Linked DNA regions of Tribolium castaneum. The protein of the gene in region 1 interacts with the protein of each later gene in a biochemical or structural test. Links are inferred from orthologs where the notes say so. Each region holds a gene or a part of one and is shown on either strand. Other genes may lie near its edges.

Region 1 (4,109 bases):
AAAAAATATTTTATTACAAAACAGAAATTCGAGTAGATAATGATAATGCTGTGAATTCCCTTATAGTTTTGTCCTGTCATTCAAATTCCATGAATTTTTATTGCTTTATTATTATTTTCTTTTTTTTCTTTTGCTTTTGTATTTACTCCAAACTATTCAAGATAATTTTTTATACTTATGATTTTTGAATTTTCTGTCCTCTTTTGCTTATTTGCTCATTTGCTCTCTTTTATTTCCATTAATTTTTATTGCTTTGTTATTATTTCCTTTTTATTTTCTTTTACTCTTGTATTTACTCCAAACTATTCAAGATAATTTTTTATACGTATGATTTTTGAATTTTCTGTTCTCGTTTGCTTATTTGCTCATTTCTTCTCCATAAACCATTGGTGAATACACTGTTTTTGTAGTTATTTAGTAAATGTCATCTGTGAAGACGAAATAAATTGTAAAAATATGAGGCAAAACATGTAATAAAACTAATAAAACAGATAATAAAGAAAAACAGAAATATAGTTTTCCCGGGATAGTGAGTAAAAAAAAACTAAACAAACGCATCATTCGTCGTAAAACCGACAAATATACAATGAAATCAGCTATTTGCTGTGAGTCACTTTGATATTTAATTTTTCTAAACGGCTTAAAACTCGTTAAACAATTCACAGCAATTTTTTGACTGACAGACAGCCCACAGTCTGTCATCGATCTGTGATGTGAAACAGAAATGCATTATGCAAAAAAGTTTTTTAAATCCCTTTCTCGACAATGAAATTTTCGCCCATCAAACGAACTAAACCGTGCAGTTTGTAACTAGAGAATTTAATGACAAATTTCAAACTGCATTGTGTATTATTTTGCTTTAACTCAGTAGCTAACACCGAAATAATTAAATTCAAAATGAATTAATTCAGGGAAAAGATCAGGCTGTAGTAAGCTATGAAATCTAATTAAAAACTCGACGTAATAATTGTGAAATGATAATTCTTCAATTAGGAAACAATAAAATTGTGTAACAAAGAACGTAATTGCTTTATGTTTGATTTGAGGTCCGTAATGACTCTCTTGCTCAAATCCATTACATCTGGACAAAAAGCTATTAAAAAAGCGTAAAAAATTACATTTAGTTATTAAAAAAAGAAATAAAACGGTTACTTGTACTTAACATAAAGTTAGTGCTTTTTCTGAAATTGCAAGCCTTTAACTAGATTATAAGAAATTAAACAAAACATAAATGATTTTAAAATAAGAAATACATACTTTCAAGCTGAAATATTTATAGTCTAGCACCCAAAATAAACAAATAAAAATCTAAAATTGTAGACCATAACGCGTCCGAAAGAACAAACGCATTTATTTTAACTATTAATTATTTATTAATAAAATAATTGTTAACTTCCATATACTACAAATATTCCAGAATGTATTTTTCATGCAATTGTTAGTCTTATCACATAACACAATAAAAAATCGGCCATTTTTTTCACAATCAGAAAAATTTTAGTATTCATCTACTGCTACTGTTGTCTGTGGTGTGTTTTAAAATCAACTTTGTCCTTCACATTAATTTAGTTAAATAATTAATATAAATAAACCAATTAATTAGCCATTTAAGAAGAGGTATAAATGACGTCAATAACTACAAAAACAATTAAATTTAAATCTTAAGTCAATTGGCAATTACCGTAAGTTCAAGTGTCAAAATTCCAGAGCCAACCTTCCCATGCGAAAAATATTTCGTCCTGAAAAGAAGTTAGCCATGGAAATTTGACCGACTTCACCCTGTATATTTTTAGTAAAAAAAGTTCGTTTTGTCAGTCCTTTTATGGAGCAAATAACTACTTTTTACGCGCACATAATATAATTTAAAGTGTCGTGTTTAACAAAATAACATGTAATTTGTATTTTGTTGATGAATTATTGGAAAACCAGGCGGTAAATCCCTGCTGTTTATAATGTATTTTTAACTCAATAACGATAAAAAAAATAAACCTCGCTTGCCACCACCCAATTACCACAATTCACCGACCGATTTCCACCCTAACCGCCGACTCCGGCTCTGTTCCACCCTCGTGTCAAACGCTTTTAGCCGCTCCACCACCCCCAAAAGACCCACCCCAGCCCCTGCTTACCTTCCGATCTCCTCGCAGAGATCGTAGACGTCGTCGAAGAGAACTTCCTCGTCGGCCATCGTTAGACCATGCCTGTGGGGCGGCGACGCCGGCAGCTAGGCAAGCCGTTCAGCACAGGCCCATGGGGGTTGCCTACCACTCTGGCCCCAACTGGGGGCGGCGAACAGGACTCCGCAAACGAACACCGCGACAATCGGACGTTTTCACCGCCGCACGACGCACACACCCAACAACACGCTAATAAACAGCCACAAACTGACAGCTGTGACAGGAACAGGCGCAACACCGGCCGGGATCACGCCTAAAACACATGCGCAGCGTCGCGCCGCGGGTTTTAACACTACGGACTGGACTTTTAACACCTCCAAAGCGGCTTGTTTGGAGTTTGATGACTGATTTAGATACGGTGGGTGCGGCCGCCGACAGGAAACCCGGTCCTGGATTGTCACACGCAAATGTCAGGCTGACAACATAACCTATCTTCGCACTTTAATAACGCGGCACCGGTTTTAAACTACTAAATAGGGACAGGCGGGGGTTTCACATGCGGGCATCGATTTCCAGGGGCGAGTTTCATTAAAACGGGTTTGATTAATTTTCGATGATATTTGACAGGTCGGAATGGTGCCACAACAAAGACATGAAAAAAACTAAATTAGTTTCGAGTTTACAGGACCGGCTTTGATCGCGCCCCAGATTTGATTAGTCCCAGGCCCGGCTTTGATCGTTGCTCCAGATTTGATTAGTCTCAGGCCCATTGGAGTGAATAACAACTTTTTTGCAACAAAAATTTATTCAGGATCGTATACACGTCTGTGCACTTGACTATACAGAATGTTCCGTCTAAACCGCACATTAGAAGTATTAAAGTTCTCATAATGATATTTATCTCAAAGTTGAGAGTACAGCCATAACCCGTTTTAGTTTTTTTTTAAATCGCTTCAAAAATCGATAATTCTGCCATTCTTAGGACTGGTTTATTGAAGCGTCATTAATTTAATTTGCAATTAAATGCGTGATTAACTGATCACATGATCAAATTGAACAAACGTGATTGGTCCATTCGCGTTAACTTTTAACAACGAATTAGATTTTGGTAAAACTTTCTATAAACCAGCCCTTAAAGCCGGTTTGCAGAACATTTTAATTGCAATTAAATTTTAATCGCGAAAAAAATCTATGGCTAATTTCTCAGTGCCATAGTATAACTTAAAAACTGTTAAACGTAAGTATAGGGAATATTAATCAAGATGAATGCAAAAATTAATTCTCAACCATTTAGTCAAATAAAAATTGTGACATTTTACTTGAAAATTGGAGTTATAGGTGTGAATTTCTGCAAACTCGATCTGAGTTTGCTAATATTTTTTAGAAATTTGAAAACACAAAAAAAAAAGATTTAAACTTTCTCTTTAAAATAAGCCAAAAGGTTAACGATTTTTTAAGTCAAAAATGAAAATCAAAAAATTAAATACTAAAATAAAAATTAAATATAGGTATAGGAAAAGCAAAATAGCTCAAGTAATCCAAAAATGCAGCAAAAAACAAAGCTTTTCATTTAATATAAGAAAGTTGATAACGACTTCCGGTGTAACCGGAAGTGCCGTCACGTTGCAAATATTTTCATTATCAGGCGGATTACGGTTGTGTGCAAATTTTTTCCCCAAAAATTATAATTATTAGAATTCTCAATACTTCGTATGGAGTTTAAGCGGAATAGCCTGTAGATAACTCTTAAAAATAAATAAATAATTTACATCTAAGTGGTCTAAAAATAAAAAAACATGCGTTCACACTAATCAGAGAGGGCTTGGGTTTCGTGGTCCTAACCTTACAATTAAATGGAATTCTAGTCATTATAACAAACTTAAAGTCCCTGTGATGGCGTTAACTTCTTCCTCGTCTCCAAAAACACTCAAAACCGTGACAGACCCTGGGGGTATCTGCGTGTGGCCAGCATCTGACACTAAATAACACGGA
Region 2 (7,360 bases), on another chromosome or scaffold:
AATGTTTCATCAATTGTTTCAAAAGGTGACTGCCCAAATTACTATCAAAATTTGGATTAAGTTTTTAACAACAAAATTTAATTTTTTTCTTGGATCAGCCGAGCGATTTGGTTAATTTTTTGTGTGGCCATTTATTTTTCGGGGTTTAATGATCCACCGGTAATTTGGCTTAATTTTAAATAAAAGAAATGTGTTTAAAAATTTCATTTTTTAACTTAAGGTCATTTTTTGACCCTAATTGTCCTAAAATATGTGCATTCTAAATTTCATAACAATCCGTTGACAAATAACGGAGATATTAAGCTCGAAAGTCTTAGCTGAGACACGTTGTATTTTTCTTTGATATTAAAGGAACTTTTATTTTTAAAAACGTGTAATAAGACTTTGAAATAGATAAAACGAAATAAAAAATGTGTTTTTATTTCTTACCTTTTGCCCCGACTCCCTGAGCGCGCTATAAATCTGCAACTTCCTGGTGCTCTCCCTGATCACGTTATTCTCCCTTGCTATCCTCGTGGCCCACCTTCTGGCCTCTTTGCTCAAGGTAGCGGCCGCTGAATCATGTTCTGCTGTGATGGTTTCAATAGGATCGTTGTCACACGGTTCGAAAGGATATTGTATGTGCTGTTTAAGAACGGGATAGTACAAGTAACAGCATTGAATATTATAATCTCTGGTTAGTTGTTTGGCTTGATCTCGGATGATTGTGAAGGAGTTTTGCATCGCCGAGCAGGTGAGAAGTTCAGTGCGTCCCATCAGAAAAAGATATTCGGCGACTTTTTCGTAGACGCCGCTTTCCATCGTCGACATACATTGTTGTAAATCGACGACAAAGTAGCGATTTTGATGGGCGTTTGCAGCCGCCAGGCACAGGAGGTAGTCGTTGCGGGCGCCCGTCGATTTTTCGTCGAGTTGTTCGCGTTTTGTTGAGTATTTTGCACTGTTTTTCTGCAAGGAGGTGATTGAGGTGAAGAAACCGCCCTTCTTCTTTTTGAGTCTGAAATAAATGATAGGTTTGACAATAAAATCAACAGACACAACGCAATTGCCAAGAAAATTAAATCTTTGGTTTCGTCATAATTTCATTCGACTTAACTTTTTAAATCTTCAGCTTTAACTGAATGTTAAAAAATAATAATAAATTTTAAAACTGATATTCTCGGTAGATAACAATTAATTAATGAAACGTTAATACCTCCAGAAAAACTAATAATCAATCACCTTAAAACACTGAAAAACTAGAAATATAAAAAAATAAAAACGTGGAAGACTGAAAAACTACAAACTACCTACAAACAGAATTTAACTGGAATACAAAAATAGACAAATCTAGAAAGAAGACTTAAAAAAGAATGAAAGACAAAAGTTAGATCTGGAAAATAACAAAAACTGCTCTAAATGACTGAAAAGCTGAAATACCTACTAAGAAGCTAAAAATCTGAAAGACTCAAATACTCATAAACCAAATTCAAAGACTGATTGAACTAGATTTACCATTAAAAATTGAATAATATTCAGAATTAATAAGAAACTAAGAGACTGAAAGACTTAAAAACTGAAAAACTGAAAAAATAAAAAATCCAAATACTAAGAAAACAAGAAAGTAAGACACTGTAGAACTGAAAGTCTGAAAAAATAAGAAAGTGAGCAGTACGTAACTGAAAAAAATGATAAGCTAAGAACCTCAAAATAAAAACTTAAAAAATTAAACATAACTGACATAAAATAGTAAAAAACTTAAAAATTCAAAGTGAAAGAATATGACAAAAAACAAGAACAAAAAATTAAAAAAAATAATAAATTAAAAATCCCACTATCTAAATAGTTAAAGTGACTATGGATTAAGAGGCTAAAAAGTTGAGGCTGAAAAAAAACACAACTATTAAGAAAATAAAAAACGTAAAATAAAATACAAAAATATTAAGATAAAGATTTAAATACTCTGAGAAATTAAGATTCTAAAAAAATGAAATAATGATAAAAGACTCAAAAGTGACAAAAAATCCGTTAAAACAATAATTAGAGAATGAAAAACTAAAAAACTGGAGAACTGAATGACTTAAATATTATCAAAAGTAAACTATGAAATACTCAGAATTAATGAGAAATTGATCTTAAAACTATAAATAAAAGACGAAAAATCTTTAGATGTGTGAAAAACGAAAAAAATAAATAATAAAAACTAAATGATATATTGAGTAGCTAGCTATATGATACTAATAGAAAAACTAAAAATTTTAGAAACTAGCAAGTTTAAACACTGACCTCTGAAATATCAACTTAAAATCAATTTAAAATTAAAAAGCTGACTTGAAAAACTTACGAACTGAAAAGCTAAAACACTGAGAAATAAATTAACGAAACTACTAATAAACACTTTTAAATAAAAAGTCAATTCAAAAAACCTATATAGTGAAAACTTGAAACACTAAAAAACTAAAAAACAATACGATTGCAAGTTTGATAAATAACCAAAGAACTAAAAGAGCAAAAAATTAAGAAAAATGTAGAACCTCAAAATAAAAACTTAAAAAATTAAACATAACTGACAAGAAATAGTAAAAATTCAAAGTGAAAGAATAAGACAAAAAAACAAGAACAAAAAATAAAAAAACAGAAATTAAAAATCTCACTTTCTAAGTAGTTAAAGTGACTAAAGATTAAGAGACTAAAATACTAAAAAAATATATCTAAAAATACGAAAAGCACTGAAAAACTATAAAAGATTAAAAAACTCGTACACTAAAAAACAAAAATTCTCTAGACATGAAAATTACAAAATCTCAAAAAATCAACGACTGAGAAACTAAAACATTGTGTAGGCAAATAAATACTAAGACTCAAAAATGAAGACATTTTTAAAAACTTAGAATTGAGAAACTAAATGTCTGAGAAAAGTGGGAGAAACTGTAAAATTGTGAAACAGACGCAGTGGAACTTAAAAAAAAGATTAATACAATAAAAAAACTCATAAACTATAAAAATATAAATGTAAGAAGTAGAAAAATTAAAGTAAAAACCTGACATTCCAAAAAATTAAAATCTGAGAAACTGAAAGAGTGACAATATGAAAGTAAACTACGACTGAAAGCCTAAGAAACTTGAAAATTATTGTACAAAAAATTAAAAAAAATAATAAATTGGAAAAATGGCATTCTAAGTAGCTAAAAAACAAAAGGCGAAAGTGGGAAGACAAAACAATAAAAGTTTGAAAAGGTAAAAAAGCTGTAAAACTGACATTGAAATATTTAAAGAATTAAATATTGTTATGATTTTTGGAACCTCTTTTGCTACTAAATACGTTTTCGTGAATTACTGAAACCCCTCGTAATTGATTTAAGAGCATGTTTTATAAAATCACAAAACAACCGCATTTTAAAATAGTCTGCAATTGATTTTTTATTAATTAAATTAATTACATTAATCTGAAATTACTCATTAATTCATTATTCGCTTATTTGGATGAGATAATCAAAATAAAGCTACAATTGTGTTAAACGCGGCTTGTCTAATAGGCCTTTCGGCTTGCATGTTGATTAAGTCACGTGACTGCATTTCAGTCCTCTGAGAATACGAATTATTATTATACTCCAGCTCGACAATGTCGTATCTTAACACAAAAGCTAATTGTTGCTGCAGCTCTCCCTAATAAATACACAGAAAATTAATTAAAAACGTTCAATATAAACGTTCTTTGAAAAAATATTCGACGTTTAAAACTTGTAATAAATCCGTCCAAAGTTTTTATCCTTCATCTCCCGGATAACACCGCTATCCCTTCGGGTGACGTGCAAAATTAAACCGAGTCACGAATTTATTATCCCGACTCGACTTAAGCCATTTATAGATTATGTTTAATTAAAGTATGGCCAAGCGGACGCGGCGCTTCCATAAATTCATAAACTGGGACGGGAAATCATTTTTAATGTAGTCAGACGCTTCATTATTAAAAAAAATCACTTACTTTTCTTCGATGTCTCTCGCCTTGTCCCTGACCCCATGAGCACTGTGTTCCTCATCAAAGTACATTTTTTTCGTCTTGTCCACTTCTTGTACACATCCTTGTAACTCCTTTTGTACGAGAGCCAACTGATCCAAACACTGCAAGAAAAAAATACTGTAAAAATTATCCTTACCTTTTAACACCCTCTCACTTTTTTCGCTGCTTGGAGCTTATGCACCCTTAAAATTTTCGCGTCGTCTGCTATCTGCTGCTGAAAAACTTCGACGGCTGCTAATCGAGCCCTTGCCAGTTTTTCGTTCTCTTCCAGAACCGTTCGCCAAACGTTCCACATGTTCCTGGAAAAAAAATCGATTGGAAACGACTGAATTCTTCCGGCTAAATGGACGTGTAATTTGCAAACCTCCGCCCTTCAACTTTGTGTAATTAAACGAAGTTCGGGGTTAAAAATTGCGCTAGTTTCCAAGTTCGTCAGTTTAAAGGGGAAGTACAGAAGAAATTACTTCAGTGCAAGCAACTTTTCGACTGCTTTCATCAAACACTCGAGAAATTCGAAAGTTTGAGTGTGAGAAAATTTTAGATATGAGGAGAGGCGACGAAAACTCGCAGCACTTTACCAGAATTAGAAAATTTTAAAAGTTATGAGTTTGTAAATAGATTCTTTTTCAATTATTCGTAAAAAATTAAACTTGCTTTATAAAAATCTACAACTCTCAGATAATTATTGTTCCATTTACCGGTCGTTGGAACTCAACAACAACCCTATTAACAAAACAAAAGCCGATGGCATATTTTGTTTCATACTTTGCCCTTTAAACTTTTAACCGAGTCACCCTCAACAACAACACACACACACACACGACTCACTCACTCCATTAGCTGACTCTTAATAAATCTAAAAACTTTCAAACAATACGTTACAATCTTTGACGATTTACTACGAGAATTTCAGATTAGTTTCGTATCGAATTTATGGTTCACTGCACTCAAAGTTGAGGTAAATAGAGTTCAAAGGGTGGTAGATTTTTGCTCTATTAATGACTCTCCAAGGAGTCTTTTGCGGTTTATTTAAATAAAAAATAATGAATAAATAGCACTAAAACAATAGCGGTGCGTAAACGTGTTAAACGAACAGCCTTTTAAAATTTTTATTGAAGTACCAACATTTTAAAATACACAAAAAATTTTCTTAGATATTTTACTATTTTCAAAAGTAACAGAGAATCAAAAATTTCGCAAAATTTTGACAAAAATATTCAAAAATCGTGTTATTTTTACTCTTTTTCAGAGGAATATAAACTCGCTTTTAAAATAAACAGACAAAAATTAGTTTATTTAAAAAAATCCAATGAAGAAATAAATATCACAAAATAGGATCAACAATTACGTTATTTTACTTTTTCGAGCATCTTAGAATGTTTTTAAGCCAAAAAAATTTAACGCTTATTAATAGCTTGATGTAAATTTATTAACACATTAAATAAAATCAATAAAACATTATATCAAACTGATATTTTGGTCATTTTTGTAATTTAATTCCAGAACCAGATCTAGAAGGTAGAGATCAAGATGTTTTTAGATAAGGTGTTGTTGGTTAAATTAAATAACACTGTTTAAACGGTATTTCAATTCTTAACAGTATCATAAAATTAACTGCATGTCTTACTATTGTTTTTTTTTTAGTTTAGTCATATGTTTATGTTTAAAACGCAACACTGAGATAACGATTGCATTGTTTTGTCCTGATCTAGCGATTATGTACATTTTTCAGGATGAAATGCAATTGTTTTGAAAATTCTCGCGAAAACTAAATAAAAAAATCGCCGTTATTTTGAAAATAAAAACATTTTTCGATTATTTAAGCATAATTTTTACATAAATTCTCAGTTTCAATCCCAATTTTGCAAACCTTGGCTTAATGAATTGGCTATTACATCACTTTACTCAGAAATGCAATTATTTCGTCGAAAATAAAACCAGAATGTCCGAGAACTGGTTCAAAAAGTGAAATTATATTTTGGTCTTTCTCAAGCACTTAGGCATTGTTTTTCTAGCAACACTCAGTTATTATTACTGGAAGTTTCGTCAAAATTTTTTAAAACTCACTTGATTGTATCGAAAATAATGTTACTCTCTTATTTATTCGGGCGTTTAACATGATTTAGTGCTTAAAAAGTTAATACTAAACTAAAAATTCTACCAAATTAGGTCAAAATTTAACAAAATTTACATTTAAATCTTTAAAAAAACTTCAAGTAAGACCTAAGAAAACGTATTCGTAAAAATACGAAAAATCAAGCGATTGTAAACATAATTTTAGTCACAAATTTTTAATTAAAAAAAAAAACAATGTTAACAGAGAATAACGATTTGGTAAAAACTGAACTGACCGTAACCTTTAATAGTTTGGGCTTCTTAATTAATTAAATTTTTTCAAAAGTTGAAAACAGCAGAAAAAGTTCTACCCAAGCTTTCCCCAAATGCCCAAAATGATTTCAAAATTAAAAATGATAAAGTTTTCAGTTTTAGAAAGAAGGTGCAAACTCAAAAACAAACAAAAAACACATACAAGGTGACATTGTTAAAAATGTTTTCCACCATGTGTTAAAAGCTGCTACATAATTATAAAAAAAAATAACCAAAACTACACTTATTTAAATTTTTAAGATTCATTTAATTAATTATTTCTTGGGGATAGTCACAATTTTTTAACGAATTTTTTGTACAACACAAAATTTAAGCATGGTTTGTTTTAAATTGACTTAAAAAATACTTATACGTAATTTTTGCAGCAAAATTGTAGAAAGATTTTCAAAAAAATTATATGCAAATAAAAAAATATAAAAGATAGCAAACGTTGAATCACCACGGTTGATCTGAAGATGTCTTATGTTTGAAAAAAATGTCCAAGTCTAATCTCTGGTACTTTTCTCTTTACAACAGAATATAAACGAAAATATTTCATCGACGTTTTTCGAAAAAAAACTAAGACCAAGTTTGGTTTAAATTTAAATCGAAAAAATAACAGTTTTATTAAACCAAATGAAAAAAAACAAAAAAATTGTCAGTAAAACGGAAACATTTTTTTAATTCAATATTTTTAATTAAGATTTAGGGGCCAGTTTACGAAACATTTTAATTGATTAACTTGACATTTGTCAATGAATTTTAAATGGCAACTTAATTCGAATTAGTTTAATTCTGAATTAAATCTTCATTTTGCTTTCTGTAAACCGCCCTTTAAGTTTTTAAGACAAATTTACTTTTTGCACCTTTACCTTGTAGGTCTGAATAATTTTAGAAGTGAAAAATAAAGGTACGTGTAAATTTATTTGAGTGTATTTTAGAACGGTGAAGTGAAATAAAGTGAAACTTTTCTAAATCTATAATGTTAAAGTA
Region 3 (8,132 bases), on another chromosome or scaffold:
CAAAAGCAAACTTAGAAAAATTTTATTAAATTGCTGCGATAAACAAGGTCCAGTATAAACGTCATAAATTTACACAGAACTCGGAAAAATAAAGCAATTAGAATAAACACAACCAAAACAAATAAATAATGAATGCACTTTGATTGTATGAAGATGTTCCATGTCAATTTAGATTTTACAACTTCATACAAGCCGACAAGCACGCTCTGGTCACAATTTAAAACTCATCCGGGGGCAAATGCGGACTTCGGAATAAATTTATTTCAAAAAGTTTGAGCAAATTAACAAAAACTAATTTATCCGAGTTTTATTTTGCAAACCCGTCCGTGCCGCAGTCCTGTTTGAACTTTCATTTTCAAGGCTACATTGTGCGTATTTGGAAAAATTAAACTACATTGAAGTTGTTTACAAATATCAAAGTGCATTCACAGACAGTGTAATTAAGGATGATTCATTCCAAACGAATCAGTTAAAAAATCCTTTGATCCTTCTGCTTCAAGTTATAAAATTTTCATCCCGGTTTTAAAGCTGTCAAATTCGTGTTTCATGTATCGAACACACGAAAATAACTGAAATGCAAACTGTACTTATTATTATGAATTTGTAATTATATTTAACGTTCGTTACAAAACTGTTGTTATAAATAATGAAGTTCATACCGAATAACAATCGATATCTCCCAAACTCGAATTAATAATTCACTGGCAACGATTATTTACTTTTAAATAAAATTAACAAAATGTTGACTACATGCAGCGTATAAAATATTTAGTTCTCCTTTTTGTTGGAAATTAACGACGCTAAATACTGGCATTTGGACGAGGTGTTTTGGCAATAAATATAACGTTACAACATTTTAGTGAATTTTGGCAACAACAGCAGGATTGTAATTTCAGCGCGGTATTTTTTCAAAATTTATTTCATAATAAGTCTGTTCCATAAGCTGCTCGAGGCACTTCCAACAGCTTTCCACCCAGACACAAAATGACAGTTAAAAATCCTTCAAGAGACTCCTTTGAGGTTTCTCTATTCCTGTTGTTAATGGAAAAGCAGCATTTACTATAGTCTGCCATGGTAATATTTTCGCGGTGACGTAATAAAGGAAGAGTATACTGAGTGATTCACACAAAGTGCAACAAAGCACTCTCAGCACCAAAAAGAACACAACCCAGTTGTGCAAATTACCATTATTGGTAAATCTGCTTGTTATCACTTGCAGTCCTATATTTCAATTTAGCTTCGTTCGGTTAAAAATGACATTGATGAATAACACTTCGAACGACATGAATTGCTATCAAATATGTTGTTTATTAAATGCGGAGTCGGCGGGAACAGTAGCCAAACTATCGATTCGTATTATTTTGTGGACGGGGAAGTCCGTCTACGCCAATACAGATAGCTTCAAAAACCTCCGTCACTTAAAAATCGCCGGAAACGAGACTCATTTGTTTTCTATTTTGGATGAACTGTTCTTATTTTTGATCATATCGTTAGTAATTTTTCGATAAATATTGAGATTGTTGGCAAGCATCTCGCTTAGGTGACTATCTGTACTGAGTAAACATCCGATTGATACTGCAACAACGTTGTATCAATAACAGGCGTAACAATGCAGGATTTCTTACATTAGCGGAAATGAAACTCTTTGTGGTTAAAATGACAGTAACATCGCAACCGAAGTATTGATCATTTTTGTAAAACCACCCAAAAAGCAAAGTTGGAAGTAAACAATAAACATACGACCCGCACATTACTAAAGTAACCATTTCCAAAAATACCTCACAAATAAACAGCGCTTCACTGCTTATACCCTAACCAAGTTTTTGTTCCTTACCTTGGAAACACAAGCGTCCTTGATTTATAATAAAGGAATACAGCGAACAATAAAAATAATGATAAATCGCGGGGTCTTAGTGTCATCGGCGACACAAAGTTCCTTTAATCTCTCGCAAGGGCATTACCGAGCAAAAAGGAGAATCTCTCTGGACGCATCACATAAATCAAAAATATTAACAAATTATGGATTGTTTAAAAACAATTCAATTTTGATAAAAGTTTAATTGTTACGGGGTGGACACATTCGAATTATTTATGGCCTGAATTGACACGGTACTGCTAAAATATTCATCGATGCAAAAATAGCCTTCGTATACGCTTCCATTTTAATGAAACAATTTTAATGGTAAATGTGTTACGTAAGCAATTATGATTTCTTTTTAATGGCAACTTCACCCCAATGATAAATTCAAGCAATGATATTTAATACAATTATATAATCACGAAACACTCGAATTAGTAATAAATGTCCCGACATGAGATAACACTGATTTTAGTAATAATCATGCATTATCGGTGCTAATCGAATTTGTTAAGCTTAATGCTAACTACAGGAGTCTGACATAAAAGTGATAATAAACTATCCCATGCAGTTAAGTCCGTTTTAATTACGATTTAATAAATGAATAAATAGGATGAAATATTCATTTAACTAAATTACAACCTGACAGCATGCTTTATCGTCCACCACATTAAACTGGAATTGCTCTACTGCCAATTCGCCAATTTATGTACTAAATAAATCCCGATTTTGCCAACTTTTCAAACTGACCAATTCAGTTTTCTCCGAAAGCACGGAGACATGTTAATGCTATTTTTGGTTCCCCATCAATAAAATAACGACATGACCTGTTACGGTAGCTGTAAAATCTCCATTGACTGAAATTCTCACGAAAATCATGATACGTTTCAAGTGCTTGTGAAAAACCTCCGCCTTGCGTATTTTTCCGCAAAAATGATACAGATGTGCTGAAGCAGATTTAAGGCGACCTTCAATCTTGCACAAAACTGTATCCCTTGATTCAATCAGACTGTATGAATAAATACGTCTATACGAGAACACTCCTTGATGTATTAATAGAAATGAAAACAATTTCTTCGCTTTAGTCACGAAAATCAGATGCAAAAATGAATCGCGGAGTTAAATACCACGAACCACCAGTATATTACATCTGGAATTAGCAAACCTCACCCCATTTTCTCTCAAAAGCAAATTAGTGGAATAGAAGAGATAAGTAAATTACCTACAAAGGTGAAAATCTTAACAGAGGGTGTTGTTATGATCTCCCTTGCGATACATCATTAAAACCTCTTTTGACAGATTTTACAGCATCACAATTTGCGTTAATTTTAAATATACATTTCCAGGCTGATAATTTTCTGCGACCAAATTAAATAAGAATATTTATGCGCGTTTCAAGTGAATACACTTCGTTAGGAATTAAAATGTTTAACATGCAATTCTAATTTGTAATTCCATTTAATTATCCCTAATTCCGCTCAAATGAGCATTGTTGCAATTAAAAATTATGGAAACAAAATGTAGCAAGATGGATATACATCTCGAAACGAGTTTTTACGCATCATTTCTTCCATTTACTACTACATTATAAATAATTTATAAGTGTGATTATTTTAAGTTACGTAAAAAAGCAGTCTTTGTCAAAACGCTTAGTGCAAGCTTAATTTATGGAATTTATGAGGTAGGGATGCAGCAAAATATTTCTTCAGTTTTGCAATGGTTGTAACAGGAGGCTTCGTTCGGTTTTAATGGAATGTTTCATTAGAAGTAATTAATTATGCAAAATGCTTATCAATGACGAAGTCCTTGTGTTTGTCCATTTGCTGATTGATTTTTCGGAATATTGGCGATATTTACGATCCGTAGAAAAGGAAGAAGTTTTATGATCTTGTAAAATGATTTATTTGGCCGACTAAAGGTTGGCATTAAATTAAAATCAGTAAAAGCGCGTAAACAAAATACCATCTGCAGGAGCGATGATTTTTTTGGAAGGCGAATGCCGTCTGTCCGGAAAATCGAAATTATAGATGATACAATGTAAACATTTTCGTATGCGTCTCGTCATTGTTATTAATTTGCGTTCGTGCACATTAACATAAATATTTTTGACGCGCTTTCGCCAAGAAAAAACCTCAAAGCTCGGACGAGCTCCAACATTTAAGACACAAGTTTAGGCCCCGAACGAGTAGGAATGATGAACATTTGTAACTTACCTGTGCTGCTGTCGCAAATCCAAATAGGATTGCACAACATAATAATGAACATATCCTTAAATACATCACTAAAAACAGTTTTTACTAGTCGAATTAACTCGACTATTTGTTTTTATTTCTGTAACTTAATATGGCACGGTTACCCCACAGCAAGCAACAAACGCATACAGTGTACTAGCTGATCAATGAGAAATACAACTACGGGTTGTCGAGTTACCGACTGGGTTCGGTCATTTTACAGCTCAAGCGCACACCGGCGCCAATTTCGAATTTGCCACCCAGCGGATGGCAACACTGCATTTTTTATGCTGAAGGGCCGCCATTACCGCCAATTATTTCAAAAAAACATGATATTAAGTGCTTAAAACAAGAATCTAACCTTTAAAAAGCTATCCTAAAAAAGGCTTATATAACTTTTTGTTATAGAAAGTTTTAACTTAGTTGTATGTCTTTTACCACTACCCAAAAAAAGATCTGACTCTTTTGAATCACCCTGTATACTTATGCCACGTAAAATTTATTTACATATACAAAACAATATTATTATGCCTTTTTTCTTCCTATAGACTGGTCATTGCGGAACATTGGGGGTGTGTTTTGTACACGTTGTAACAAGTTTTTTGAGTTATTTCATGTTTCTACCGCACACAAGCTCGCAATGCGACTTTAAAGCTCGCAATCGACTTTAAAGCTCGCAATCGACTTTAAAGCTCGCAATCGACTTTAAAGCTCGCAATCGACTTTAAAGCTCGCAATCGACTTTAAAGCTCGCAATGCGACTTTAAAGCTCGCAATGCGACTTTAAAACTCGCAATGCAACATTAAAGCACGCAATACGACTTTTAAAGCTCGCAATGCGACTATTTACTTAAGGTCCAAGATTTTATTAATTTAACAGTTTGAAAAATTTGTGATCGTGGCCCTTTAAGGGCATCGTAGTACGCAGTGTCAAACACTAAACAAATATTACGTAACCATCATTTTTATCGAAAAAATAAATATGGTGTGCCACACACAATTGAGAAAAACACACAGTGAAGGCGATAATATTTATTTGAAAATAATACCTATATCATACAGTAAACGTGAACATATTTTCCAATCTAAGAAATCTACTTTCAAGCTGTGGAACTCAAATATGAAATTACTCCTTGTCGATTTCGGTGACTCTCTGCTTGTGGCGATTGATCGCATCTTGATGTCTCTTGATTTGCTCCTCGTGGAAATTAATTTCGTTCTTTAAATCGTCTTTCAGTTTCGATAACTGTTCCCTTTGCTTAAAAAAAACTATAAACAAATCTATTATTAGCCGGTGCATCTAACCTTTTTATAGAAATACTCCTCTTCCTTGGCGGCTTCAGCCTTGCCGAAGGCACCCCCGGCTTCGCGAATTGTGCCGCCGCCGCCGCCCCCTTTCCCAGCCCCGCTCCCTAAATCGCCAAGCTGTGACATTAATCGAAACTGTCTGAAATAAAAATATGACAATATTATGTAAGACGATGACTGGAAGGCACTAAGTGGTGCAGTTTGCACCTGCACCTACTTCGGAGCTTTCGATGCCTCCAGAAGGGTTCGCGGGTTACGCAAAAAGCTCATTTCGTACTTTGCGAGAAGTTTGTGCCGCAAAATCACCTGGACTTCGTGTGACAACTTTTCACCAACTCCTGAATGTCAAAGTGTCAAATTCACCGGTAAGCTAGGCAGCTACCTGAGCGACATCTAATGAATTCCACTCCCAAAACCACCAAAACTCTTCGAAATTTCCTTAAATTCCCTTTATTCTGGCTAATTTGTTCCGTGAGCTCCTCTGGTGCTATTCTTTAATGGTTATCAATTTTTTTAATAGCGTGAAATGAAAAAAAAAATCTTCGGGCGTGAGAACTTTCGGGTGGGAACTTGTCATCACTTGTCAAAATTCAATGTTTGGTGTCATCATAAGTAAATAAAGGCTTTGACAACACGTTAGACCAACGTGTAACTCGACAAAAAATTGCATAATTGCAGAAATCCCCGCAATGATTTAATTGAAATGTGACCTTGCCTCAGAACTGTATTATGATAAATGTGGGTGCACTCAAAATTTAAGACCACAAATGGAGTTTGGTAAAGATAAGTTGTTGCCAATTACTGATTCTGATGAGAGTTTTTCTGACATAACTTTCGTTGCCCCATATTCGCCCGATAAAGACGAGCAAACGGGGCAACTGCAACTAGACCAATTACTGAAGGAAATCAAAGACAATGTTTGGGGCTGTGACTTAATCCTGTGTTTGTTCATCTCTGCGTTGAACTCGTACAGGTCAGATCGTTGTTTAAGGCCGTTTCCACCCTCATATGTAAATGAAGAGGGAAAGAATTTCACTGGATTGGTAAAAACCCAATTATCTTTTCAGTCTAATGAGTTAGGTTTTTAGAGAAGTACCTGTGATAGCATTCCACCTCTTACCACAATTTTAAACGAACCAAATAAATGCTCACACGATGTAAAAAAATTGCTTATGTGGCTGTTTTTAGAGAGGGGTCATCCCACACTTAGAAGGATTAGTTATGTAAGTGGTCACTGATCGTGTTATCTTTTTATTTGTGTAAATATTCTAGGCCAATGTCCCGTTTCCGGGCAAAATTAGTAACGTGTTCAGGCCCCAATTTGTGTTTGAAGTTTGTTATCACGATAAATACGAGTCAGTGTGGCTCAAAAGGCAGGATGGGAGGGAGACAATGTTTGCATATCATGGCAGTGCTGTCGATAATTTTTATTCGATTCTTAAAGTTGGTTTGCAACAACACTTCAGCATCGAAAAGGTTTCTTTCAGTAATCGAGACTTCTATTACTTAATTTGCTTATTTAGGAGGTTTTATTTGGAAATGGAATTTACTTATCTAACGAGTTATCAGTGAGTGCACATTATGCCCCTTTTGGTCAAACTTGGACCAATAGTTGTTTAGGCAGTAAACACAGTGTGATTGCAATTTGCGAAGTAATTAATGATGTTGATAAGGTCAGATGTCGAGGTAAAAATGATGGTTGCGTTGGGCTTGGTTAAATCTTTTGTTTTAGACACCAAAAACAAAAGAAGATCTCTTAATGAAGACAGTTTGGGTGAAATACCCGAGAAGTACTTTGTTGTAACTGACAGTGATATGGTTAGAGTTAAATATCTTATGATTTATAGAAAAAAGAGAGTATTTTCGGTAAAATCTTACATAGCTCAGCACCTCTTCCTGTGTCTTTTACTTTTGTACTTTTTTTTGATCGTTGCCATAAGGGTTTTTAGCAATTCTGGTTATGTCAGATACTTAAAAAAGTTTTACCAATTGTTGTCCTTTGACTAATTTTATTTTTCTATATTGTTATTATTTTTTTACTGTTGCCAAACTGGTGTACTTACTTAATGAAATTGTTTAGTAAAACCTGAGTAAATAAATGAGGTTGTTTTTAGTACATACGCTAATCAGTTTGAAATTAAGTTGGAAACATTGAATAATACAGGAATACAGGAGATATGATAATTATTAAAATTGTATTTTCTGTCTTTTTGTGTCTTTTTCCCGTTGACGTCATGACCAAGAATTAGTTTATTCGTTTCTTGACTGCGTTCTGGTTGGTTATTATTTGTTATTAATATTATACAAATTGCGGACTGGAACTTAAATCAATAGGACATGACGTAAGAACATTTTTTTTATTTTATGTAAGAAAAATATTCATTTGTGCTTAGCCTAATGTCTATGCTAACAAGATGTGTCTGTGTGGTTGCCTAGTCACTCACTCACTCACATGGTTAATTTATTTCGCCGAAAATTGTGCGAAGTATTAAATTTTTATGCTATTTATACAAAAACATGCTTGATTTCGTAACAAAGTAACAGCGATCTAATCTAAATTAAAAAGTATATGTTTTTTTTCAAGTATTAATTTATTTTTCTTTCTTTTTTTTGAGTTATGCATGTTTAAAGAAATCCTCTACAAAGCATTTTCTTCAACAAATATCTAAGGACTGCAACTATATATTGAAATTGAAAACTGTTGTTGCTGTAGTTGTAGATCACCATATGTTTTT
Region 4 (8,142 bases), on another chromosome or scaffold:
TCTGTTTTATAAAAATTTTCTCGTTTATAAACAATGAATTGTCTGAACTTTCCCATTTGAAAATAAGTAATCATTTTTTGGAAAATGTGAAGTTAAAAAATTTAATTCGATAAATTCTTACTCCTACATAAGTACATAACGAAGTTTTTTTTTAGCTCGTTTACACTTTACATTAACAAAGTCGCGTAAAAATTGACCAATCTTAATTTTTATTAATTTGTGCTAAAAGTTATATTTTCTTACACAGACTAAAAAATTCAGAAAAAATGACTCAGTGGCAACACTGAATAGAGTACGTTTCCAGTTACCAAAAATTCAACAATATTGTGGGGATGTTCATAAAATGATTGTCAAGAAAAAAATTCGGTTACAGTGTGGCAAATTACAAACAAAAATATTTTCACATTTGTGTAATAATCTATTTTTGACAATATTGTGTTATTTATTAGACTATTTTTTTCAAAAACAAACAATCTAGCGAAATAATTAAAAATTTTTGCAGTTAAACCTCGACTCAAACGTGCTTAGAACACATGAATAGAAAAGTTATTAATAATAAGAGTGCGAAAACACAAGTTTAAAGGTCGAGGGCTGTCGTTATGCAACGAGCATATGCGAGTTCTATACCTAGACACTCGAGAACGTTTTTGAATAAGTGTTATTCCAATTTTTTTGTTGGAACATTTTAATTTAAAACACGTTGTTATGGGAAGTGTGTTTTAAAATAGTGAAAACACGTTACTATGGGAAACGTGTTTTAAAATAGTGTTTATATATCTAGGATTAAGATATTAAAAATAAAGGCTTAAAATGTTACTTACCAACAAAAAAAATATTTCTTTAAAGAAATTTAATTTTTGCTTATAGTTTTATAACACCACAAAATTGAAGCAAATTACAAAAAAAAAAATACTAACCATCTCGTTCAGTGGGGGTGCGACATTTGGGACAGGGCTTTGTCAAGACTTTAATCGCAACTTTCGAAGCTTCGTCCCAACGGGCTTCCGCGGCTCTTGTGGGGTCCACATTGTACGAACAATCCCCCGGGGCCCCCACGTCCCCTTCGGGCGCTTCGCACTCCCCAATGTGGAACCCCTGGAGGCACAGGCGGCAGAAAACGTAGCCGCAGCCGTTGATGCACGTGATTTTGGTGCACTCGGGGTCCGCCAGTATGCCCATGCCGCAGCCCGGCTGGGGGCAGAGCACCCCACCGGAGCGCAACACATACTCTTCAGTCGCAAATCTCTGATATTGTGTGTACTATAAAAAAATTAGTCCGCGCTATTAAACGGGCTTGAAGCAGAGCTCACTTGACTCTCTGACAGGAGGCGAAAATGGTGGATCTCCTGGATGAAGGAGTCGGGACAGCCAGCGGGGCACGCTAGCGTGTAGCCAAACTCGGGGTGTTGCCAGAATTGGCGTTCCCGCAGCCGTGTCGTGCAGTACTGGCGGAAACAGTCGAGGCAAGTAACGTGGCCCTCTTTACATGGAAAGACGAACACGGTTTCGCTAAAATTTTATTGGTTATTTTCACGCTAGGAGTTATTTTCGCGTTTACTTTATGTCAGCGCACGCTAGACAAGGCACTTCTTTTAAATTTGGACGAATTAGATAGAGGGGAACAGCCTCGTCGGTCTCTCCAAGGGACGTGTGCTCCGAGCATTTGAAATAAAATTCGGCGAAAGTCGGTTCTTTGTTGTTCAGAACCTGCAGGAATTATTAATTAAAAATTTTAATTTAATAGATTTTCGAAATAATAGATTTTCCAGGGTATAGGTAGCGGTTTTATCAAATTTGAATTCAAAACATGTGTTAAAAAAATATTTTTATTTAACGTCGTTTTTACCGTGTTCATCATAGTCGTTCTTAATTTGTGTTTTAAGAGCAAGCTAAACTAAAATATTTCTAGCGAAGGTCGTTAAATCGATCAAGTATTTTCTGTTACCAAACGAAACTGTCTATCTTTGCTTTTGTACGCATCTCACGCACAAACAAAATATTATTGTAGCGCTTTAGTAGATTCCCGTTGAATACATTTTTATCTCAAAAAAGGTAATATTAAAAGAATTAAAAATTAAATTTACCTACTTATGTGCTACCTACTAGTAATTTCTATTGACACTTAATTAAAAGAAATGATTTAAGACAGGTACAAAGATAGAAAAAAAAGCAGGTAAAAAAGGAGAATTGAAAAGTTATGGTAATCCAATTGTCTTTGTTTATAATTTATTATTAATATTGTAATCTAATAAAAAATCTAAACTATTATTCTTGTGTGTCGTTTTGATTATGGAGCGATTCTTACTTATTTTTACATAATTTTCTCTTCCTTATACAGCGTTCAAAATGATGTTGCCAAACTTTACGGTGTTATAGAGGTCACTAAGATAGAAATGTTTTGCTGATAAACGCTGATAAATGAGCCGTTTTGCCTCTAGAGTCATGTCTTTGTCCAGAAATGATTACATTCAAAAATTCCCATAAAACTTACGTTTCATAACGTTATTTCAATAAATTGTCAAAATACCACTGCCTTATTTCATGTCAGTTTGCTCTACTTGCGTTAATGTTTGATAAAAAAGTATTTTAAACATGTATACATTTGTCAGAAAATAACAACAAACATCTATTTTTATTTTTTTTGAATATTGATTAATTTTTCCGGCGCATCCACCATTTTTTTAATTTGCAGTTTGTTAATAGTAAATTGTTTTACACTTGTTTTTCTTATATTTTCTGTACACTTGTACATTTTTGACTAAAGTTATTCAAAGTAGTATTTGGAAATGTTTAATTTGATAATTTCTCCCGGCGCATCCACCATTTTTAAAACGCTGTCTTGTTCACTTTAAGACACCAACTGGTGTCAAAAGGCGGTGGTGTGTGCATGTGTTGTTGTCATTAAGTCATTGTTAATTCCATCTTTTAATGTTTACTTCCAAGAATTTGAACGAGTAAAAAGCCTGATGATGTTTATTACATTAACTTTTAACTAAACTTTTTAAGGAACTTGGTCTTATCGTCGTGAATTTTTTTAAAATCAATCAGTCAAGGACGTTTAAAAAATTTTTATTATAACAATTTTTACACAATACTAGAGATTTCATCATTTCAATTTGAAACAGTTGTAAAATTTGGATTTTTTCAAGTCACAAGACATTCTACTTTGAAGCAGATTTTTTTTAAATAATTATTTCTTTTCAGTCCTATAACTCGCTTACGGGTAGTCCTATAACAAAAGTGCATAGGACCAATTTTTGTAGGAAATTTCATCAGCTTTAATTTTTGTAAGAAGGTGAAAACCGACAATGATTGTTTCCGTGGTATAAGAAATAAAACGAAAAATGACACACTTAACCCTCTCCCCCATCTCGAGCTCAGCCTCCATCCTCTGGGATTTTTAATATCTGTCTATCTAAAGAACGCGTTTAAAAAATTCCAACTCACTAGGAATTTTTGCCACCAACCGCCCAATTCTTGTCTGGTCTAACTTGACTGGGCTAGATACCTGATTTATAGCTGGAACACATTTTCTAAAAATGTTATAGAGACCCTCAGTAGTAACCCAAATTTCAAATTTAGATTTACATTCAATAAATTTGGTAACTGTAGAAAATTTTAACTTTATGATAGAAAAAGAAATTTAAAAAAGTATCTGAAAATATTTTGGCGTATATTGTTTTTAATTGTCTTCAGCGACTTTTAGTTTTTAAAATTAACATTGATTTCCCTGTACCAGAATTTCGGTTTAGCTCGCTCTTATGGTGTTAATGAATCTGCTGCTTCTAGTTAGGTGAGCGGACATTACGATTGCAAACATTTTAAAAATTTTCGCAATGCTCCTTAGTAAGCGTAAATATTTTTAACTTTAAATATTTTGACTATAAACATTTTAAAGGAAAATTAAATTTTGTCCAGTACTATTTTTAGTGTGGAGTGTTTTTGACTAATTTCAATTAAATAATTAAAAAACGTACGTTGGCGCACAATTCGGGGCTATTCTCACAAAGGCCGGTTATCTGCTTTGGCTGCAGCACATCATTCCAGTTTTGGGGGTCTGAGTGCACCGTGAAAGCCCCCGATTTGCAAAAGTGGCACCGAACTCGCAATTTCCCATTTTTGAGGGCTTTACACGTGGGGCAATAGACAAAAAAGTGGACTTTGCGTTGCTCGGTGGGCCCTTCCTCGTAATCATCGTTTGAAAAACTCAAATCTGATAAGGTCTCACACAGAGGTTTGCCCTCGTCACTTTCCTCAATTACGGCATTGTTTAAAGTGGGAGGGTTGGGCTTTTTGGTGATTTTGATAGCGTGGAGGGTGCTTTGTTGGCCCAAATCACATTCCTAGAATGACTAACTGGTTACGACTAGTGGTATTGAGGGCAAAACTCACAGAAATACTAATGTTGTCTCCCAGCTCTTTTCCAGCGAAAATAATCTTTACCTCGCCTGGTTTCAGTCCCAATTGGGGCGCAACGAACTCTTTCACCTCTTTTATGTCCCAGGTGGGGTCCAAATCGACCGAAAGCGTATTCCCTGTGTTGGTTTTTATGTAAATACTCAAATTATTGCTCAGCGTTTTTCTACTAAATGACAGAAATTGTAACATCTTATGCAACAAATCTTTAATTACGTTGATAATAAAACTCATCATCTGTGGTAACCGCGGCCGGGCTTATTTTTAGAAAAAAACATTTTTTGTGAGGAAATTTCATAACCTCATTCTTGGGGATTGTCGATCCGTTACGTTGGTTGTTGTGTGAAAAATTCCAGAAACGTCAAAACAAACAAGATGGGGCAAAGTGACGACCCATACGCACAAGTTTGCAAGGGAAAATTGCAATTAAAAGGTGATAACAGCATTAAAAAGAAAAAGAAGAAGAAAGATAAGAAGTTGTTAGAGCAAGTGAGCAAAATTGTCGAAAGTGAGACACCGGAATCAAAGCCTGCGAGGCAAAAAACAAAAGCCGAACTTGCGTTCTTAAAACAGCAAGAAAAAATGGTAAATAAATCACATTTCGTGTTAAATTTGTTGCCTGATTGTTACAATTTGCAGCAAACTCAACGCATCTTGGAAAAAGCGTCAATGACACACAAAGAAAGAGTAGAAAAATTCAACCAACACTTGGACGGGCTCACGGAACACTTTGACATACCTAAGGTCTCTTGGACTAAGTAAAATATTTATTTAAATAAACTTCTTATTTACACTAGTGTGATCAAGGATTTTCTTCAAATTCCTTGCAAAACTCTCATTTGAGAATTTCTCCTGCAACACTTTGCGCCCCTTGAGCCCCATTGCCTTGTTATCCGACTTGAATATCCTGTACATGAATTGCGCTAAACTGTCGGGGGTCGGTTCGCATAAATAGCCCGTGTTTCCGTGGTCGACTGTCTCTCGGGGGCCCCCACTGTTGCACGCAATGACGGGCTTAGCCACCGTCATTGCCTCGAGGGGGACAATGCCGAAGTGCTCCTTCACGGGCGTGTAAACGAGGCAGTCACACGCCATCAGAAGTTCCGTCTTGACGTCATCGGGGGGCGACTTGAGGAAAATAATCTTGTCTTGGAGCCCCTTCTCAGCGACGAGTTTCTCCAAGTCGGTGAAATAACTGGCGTTTATGGACGATTGGGGGTCGTAGCCCCCGGCCATAACCAAGAAAATGCCTTTACGTTCATTTTCCGAGGTGATTCTTTGCAAAATTTCCATCGCATTGATGGCCAAGTCCAGTTTCTTGGCGGGATGGAAGCGGTTGATGGAGAGGAAGACACAGGCGGCGTTTTGGGGTATTTCTGGGATTATTTGGTGGATTGGTCTGGGGTTTTTGGTGTTTTTGACGGCTTCTAAGAACGAGGAGGCCACTGTGGGGTACACCACTTGTACAGTCTTTGTGATTTGGGGGAAAGTCTCCCGGAAGACCGAAGCCGTGTACTCACTATTCACTAGAATGATATCAGCCCGAGCTGTGGACTTTAACTCCAACCAGTTTATGGGCTTCCTGTAGAAATTTTTTAAGGCCCCCCCTGGCGCACTGGCGAGCAAGTCCGGGTGGTGACAATAATAGATAACTTTTTCGCCGAATAATTTCAAAATTGGCACAGCCATAGGGATTAAGTCCACAAAGTACACGTCAGGCTTTTGAGTGGTACGGTAGAAAATTGCGTAGACTAGTGTTAAATAAATCATTCTGATGTAAGCGCACAGTGCTTGGAACCTTCCGAAGAGGTGTCTCGGAAGCCAGTCGCCGTACACTTGAACGGGGAACTCCCCATTCTTGAGCTCCTCAAAAGCGTGGTTTTTGTCGAAATGGTTGGTTAGAAGAATTATTTCGTTTCCTTGTTTAGATAAGGCACTCGCGACGTCTAAAACTAACCGTTCCGCACCCCCTATTCCCAAATCAGGGTGAATAAAAGCTACTTTTCGTTTCGGCATTGTTTAAGTGAGGTTATCTCATTTTTGACAGCGTTAAATCAGTGGCACCAACCATACAGAATACAGAACTTAAAAATCCTGATTTAAATTAAATTAGGACAACTTCCACCGACTTTTTGTTTCAGTTCAATATTCCTTCTTTATTTCATCTCCTTGTTCCAATTATGGTGTTTTTCATGTAACAAATCGTCCATGGGGTAGAAAAATTGAAGATGAGAGAGACGCAACATAAACAAAGACAGACTTAATCAATTTATGAATTAACGTAAAGTGATTGTAAGATTTGTAAGCACTTTGATTGGGCCGTTTGAGGTCGGCCATTAGAATTTTGGAGAAAACCAATCACTTCAAATTTTTTGATTCATTGAAAAATTGTATTTTTGAATCTGATTGGTCCATTTCAGGTCGGCCATTATAATATAAAGTGAGAAACCAATCATTTTAAATAGTCATTCACTAATTTGATGTGAATGGTTAGTTTAAATTTGAAAGCAGACAATAAATAAACATTGTTTATTTTGTTTTGTGTTAAACGGCTTTTCTTAATGCTTCCCTGAATCAAAATTTTAGTGAAAAACTTGGTAGCAGCTTATCTCAATTGCCACAAATTTGTTTTTCTTATTTCTTGGAAAATATAATTACCTTCAAGTTAAAAAACAAAAATAAAATAAAGAATGAAATATCAACAAAAGTTAAAAATAAGTTAATTGCTAAAGTGAGAGTGAAGTGACCTACGGCAATAAAACATAGAACCGATTTATAGAAAGCGTTGCTGAAATTTAAATTGTTGTTGAAACTTAACAACGCGAATGGACCAATTACATTTGTTCAATTTGGTCACGTGATCAGTTTAATTGCGAAATTAATGACGCTTGTATAAATCGGGCTAAGGGTCGGTTTATAGAAGCGTCATTAAGTTAATCTGAAATTAAATGTAATTTGATTAGTCCATTCGCGTTGTTAGCTTTTAACAAGGAATTAAATTTATTTACGGCGACAATTAGTATGCATTTGTACAATTGTTAATAGCATGATGTATTTTTATAATTGTAATTAATTTGTAAGTTAGTTTATTTAGAAAAAAAAACTTAAAAAAATCGTCTTGAAATCTAGGAACAAAAGAGAGCTTTAGACTCTCATTTCCTTAGGAAACATTTTCGGACGAAAAAAATATGAGAACATTTTTTTTTTCTTAATTTGACCTAGGAAATCTCCCTCCCCCCCCAAAATCTTTCAAGGATTTTTCGGATATCTTTTTCATTTTATTTTTTACGATCCCAAAAAAATCAGTACCTGTATACCTAACTTCGATTGCATTTTCCATAAAAAAAACTTAAGAACCAGTTCTTATTTGGTATAACATTTTGGAAACATTAACTTATGGACGCTAGAGGGCAGGGAATTGTATTAAAGTGGTGAATGTTATGTCATTTTATTGTCATTTTACCACTTTTAACAGCTATGCAATAATTGAAATATTTACATCAATGTGTGATCTTCGAATGTTATAAATTACATGCAATATACATCGACCTCGTAAAATAGACATGAAGATTATCTAACAATCGTGAATTGCCACAATGAGAGAACTATGTACAAAAAAATGGCACGAATTAGTTTGTTTATTATAAATAAAAATATATACACAATTATTTCACGCGCAAAGCTTGGTACATTCAGTCAACAGATATGCTTGAAGTGAATGAAAAC

What was found.
Region 2: the proteins of CASK (region 1) and nwk form a complex in vitro, tested with the Homo sapiens proteins (2 studies listed by BioGRID and IntAct, with this or other methods). The link is inferred for Tribolium castaneum from reciprocal best matches to the Homo sapiens genes CASK and FCHSD2.
Region 3: the proteins of CASK (region 1) and Sdc form a complex in vitro, tested with the Homo sapiens proteins (2 studies listed by BioGRID and IntAct, with this or other methods). The link is inferred for Tribolium castaneum from reciprocal best matches to the Homo sapiens genes CASK and SDC2.
Region 4: the proteins of CASK (region 1) and park form a complex in vitro, tested with the Homo sapiens proteins (2 studies listed by BioGRID and IntAct, with this or other methods). The link is inferred for Tribolium castaneum from reciprocal best matches to the Homo sapiens genes CASK and PRKN.

The regions. Positions count from the first base shown.
Region 1 is NC_087400.1:7,166,348-7,170,456, forward strand, and holds the start of CASK (peripheral plasma membrane protein CASK), read right to left. Parts: upstream 2,801-4,109; 5' UTR 2,189-2,800; coding exon 2,130-2,188; intron 1-2,129. Other genes in the region: probable peptidyl-tRNA hydrolase 2, read right to left, coding at 3,986-4,109. UniProt on the Homo sapiens protein: Multidomain scaffolding Mg(2+)-independent protein kinase that catalyzes the phosphotransfer from ATP to proteins such as NRXN1, and plays a role in synaptic transmembrane protein anchoring and ion channel trafficking.
Region 2 is NC_087394.1:5,015,258-5,022,617, forward strand, and holds part of nwk (protein nervous wreck), read right to left. Parts: intron 4,300-7,360; coding exon 4,155-4,299; intron 4,102-4,154; coding exon 3,965-4,101; intron 998-3,964; coding exon 430-997; intron 1-429. UniProt on the Homo sapiens protein: Adapter protein that plays a role in endocytosis via clathrin-coated pits. Contributes to the internalization of cell surface receptors, such as integrin ITGB1 and transferrin receptor.
Region 3 is NC_087403.1:6,248,571-6,256,702, reverse strand, and holds the start of Sdc (syndecan), read right to left. Parts: upstream 4,275-8,132; 5' UTR 4,138-4,274; coding exon 4,072-4,137; intron 1-4,071. Other genes in the region: ATPase inhibitor mai-2, mitochondrial, read right to left, coding at 5,216-5,347, 5,395-5,536, 5,615-5,667; protein mono-ADP-ribosyltransferase PARP16, read left to right, coding at 6,165-6,440, 6,486-6,620, 6,670-6,873, 6,921-7,083, 7,130-7,404. UniProt on the Homo sapiens protein: Cell surface proteoglycan which regulates dendritic arbor morphogenesis.
Region 4 is NC_087398.1:11,670,482-11,678,623, forward strand, and holds the start of park (E3 ubiquitin-protein ligase parkin), read right to left. Parts: upstream 4,654-8,142; coding exon 4,393-4,653; intron 4,344-4,392; coding exon 3,978-4,343; intron 1,708-3,977; coding exon 1,559-1,707; intron 1,510-1,558; coding exon 1,311-1,509; intron 1,261-1,310; coding exon 918-1,260; intron 1-917. Other genes in the region: protein FAM32A, read left to right, coding at 4,792-5,001, 5,056-5,178; alpha-1,3/1,6-mannosyltransferase ALG2, read right to left, coding at 5,188-6,432. UniProt on the Homo sapiens protein: Functions within a multiprotein E3 ubiquitin ligase complex, catalyzing the covalent attachment of ubiquitin moieties onto substrate proteins. Substrates include SYT11 and VDAC1.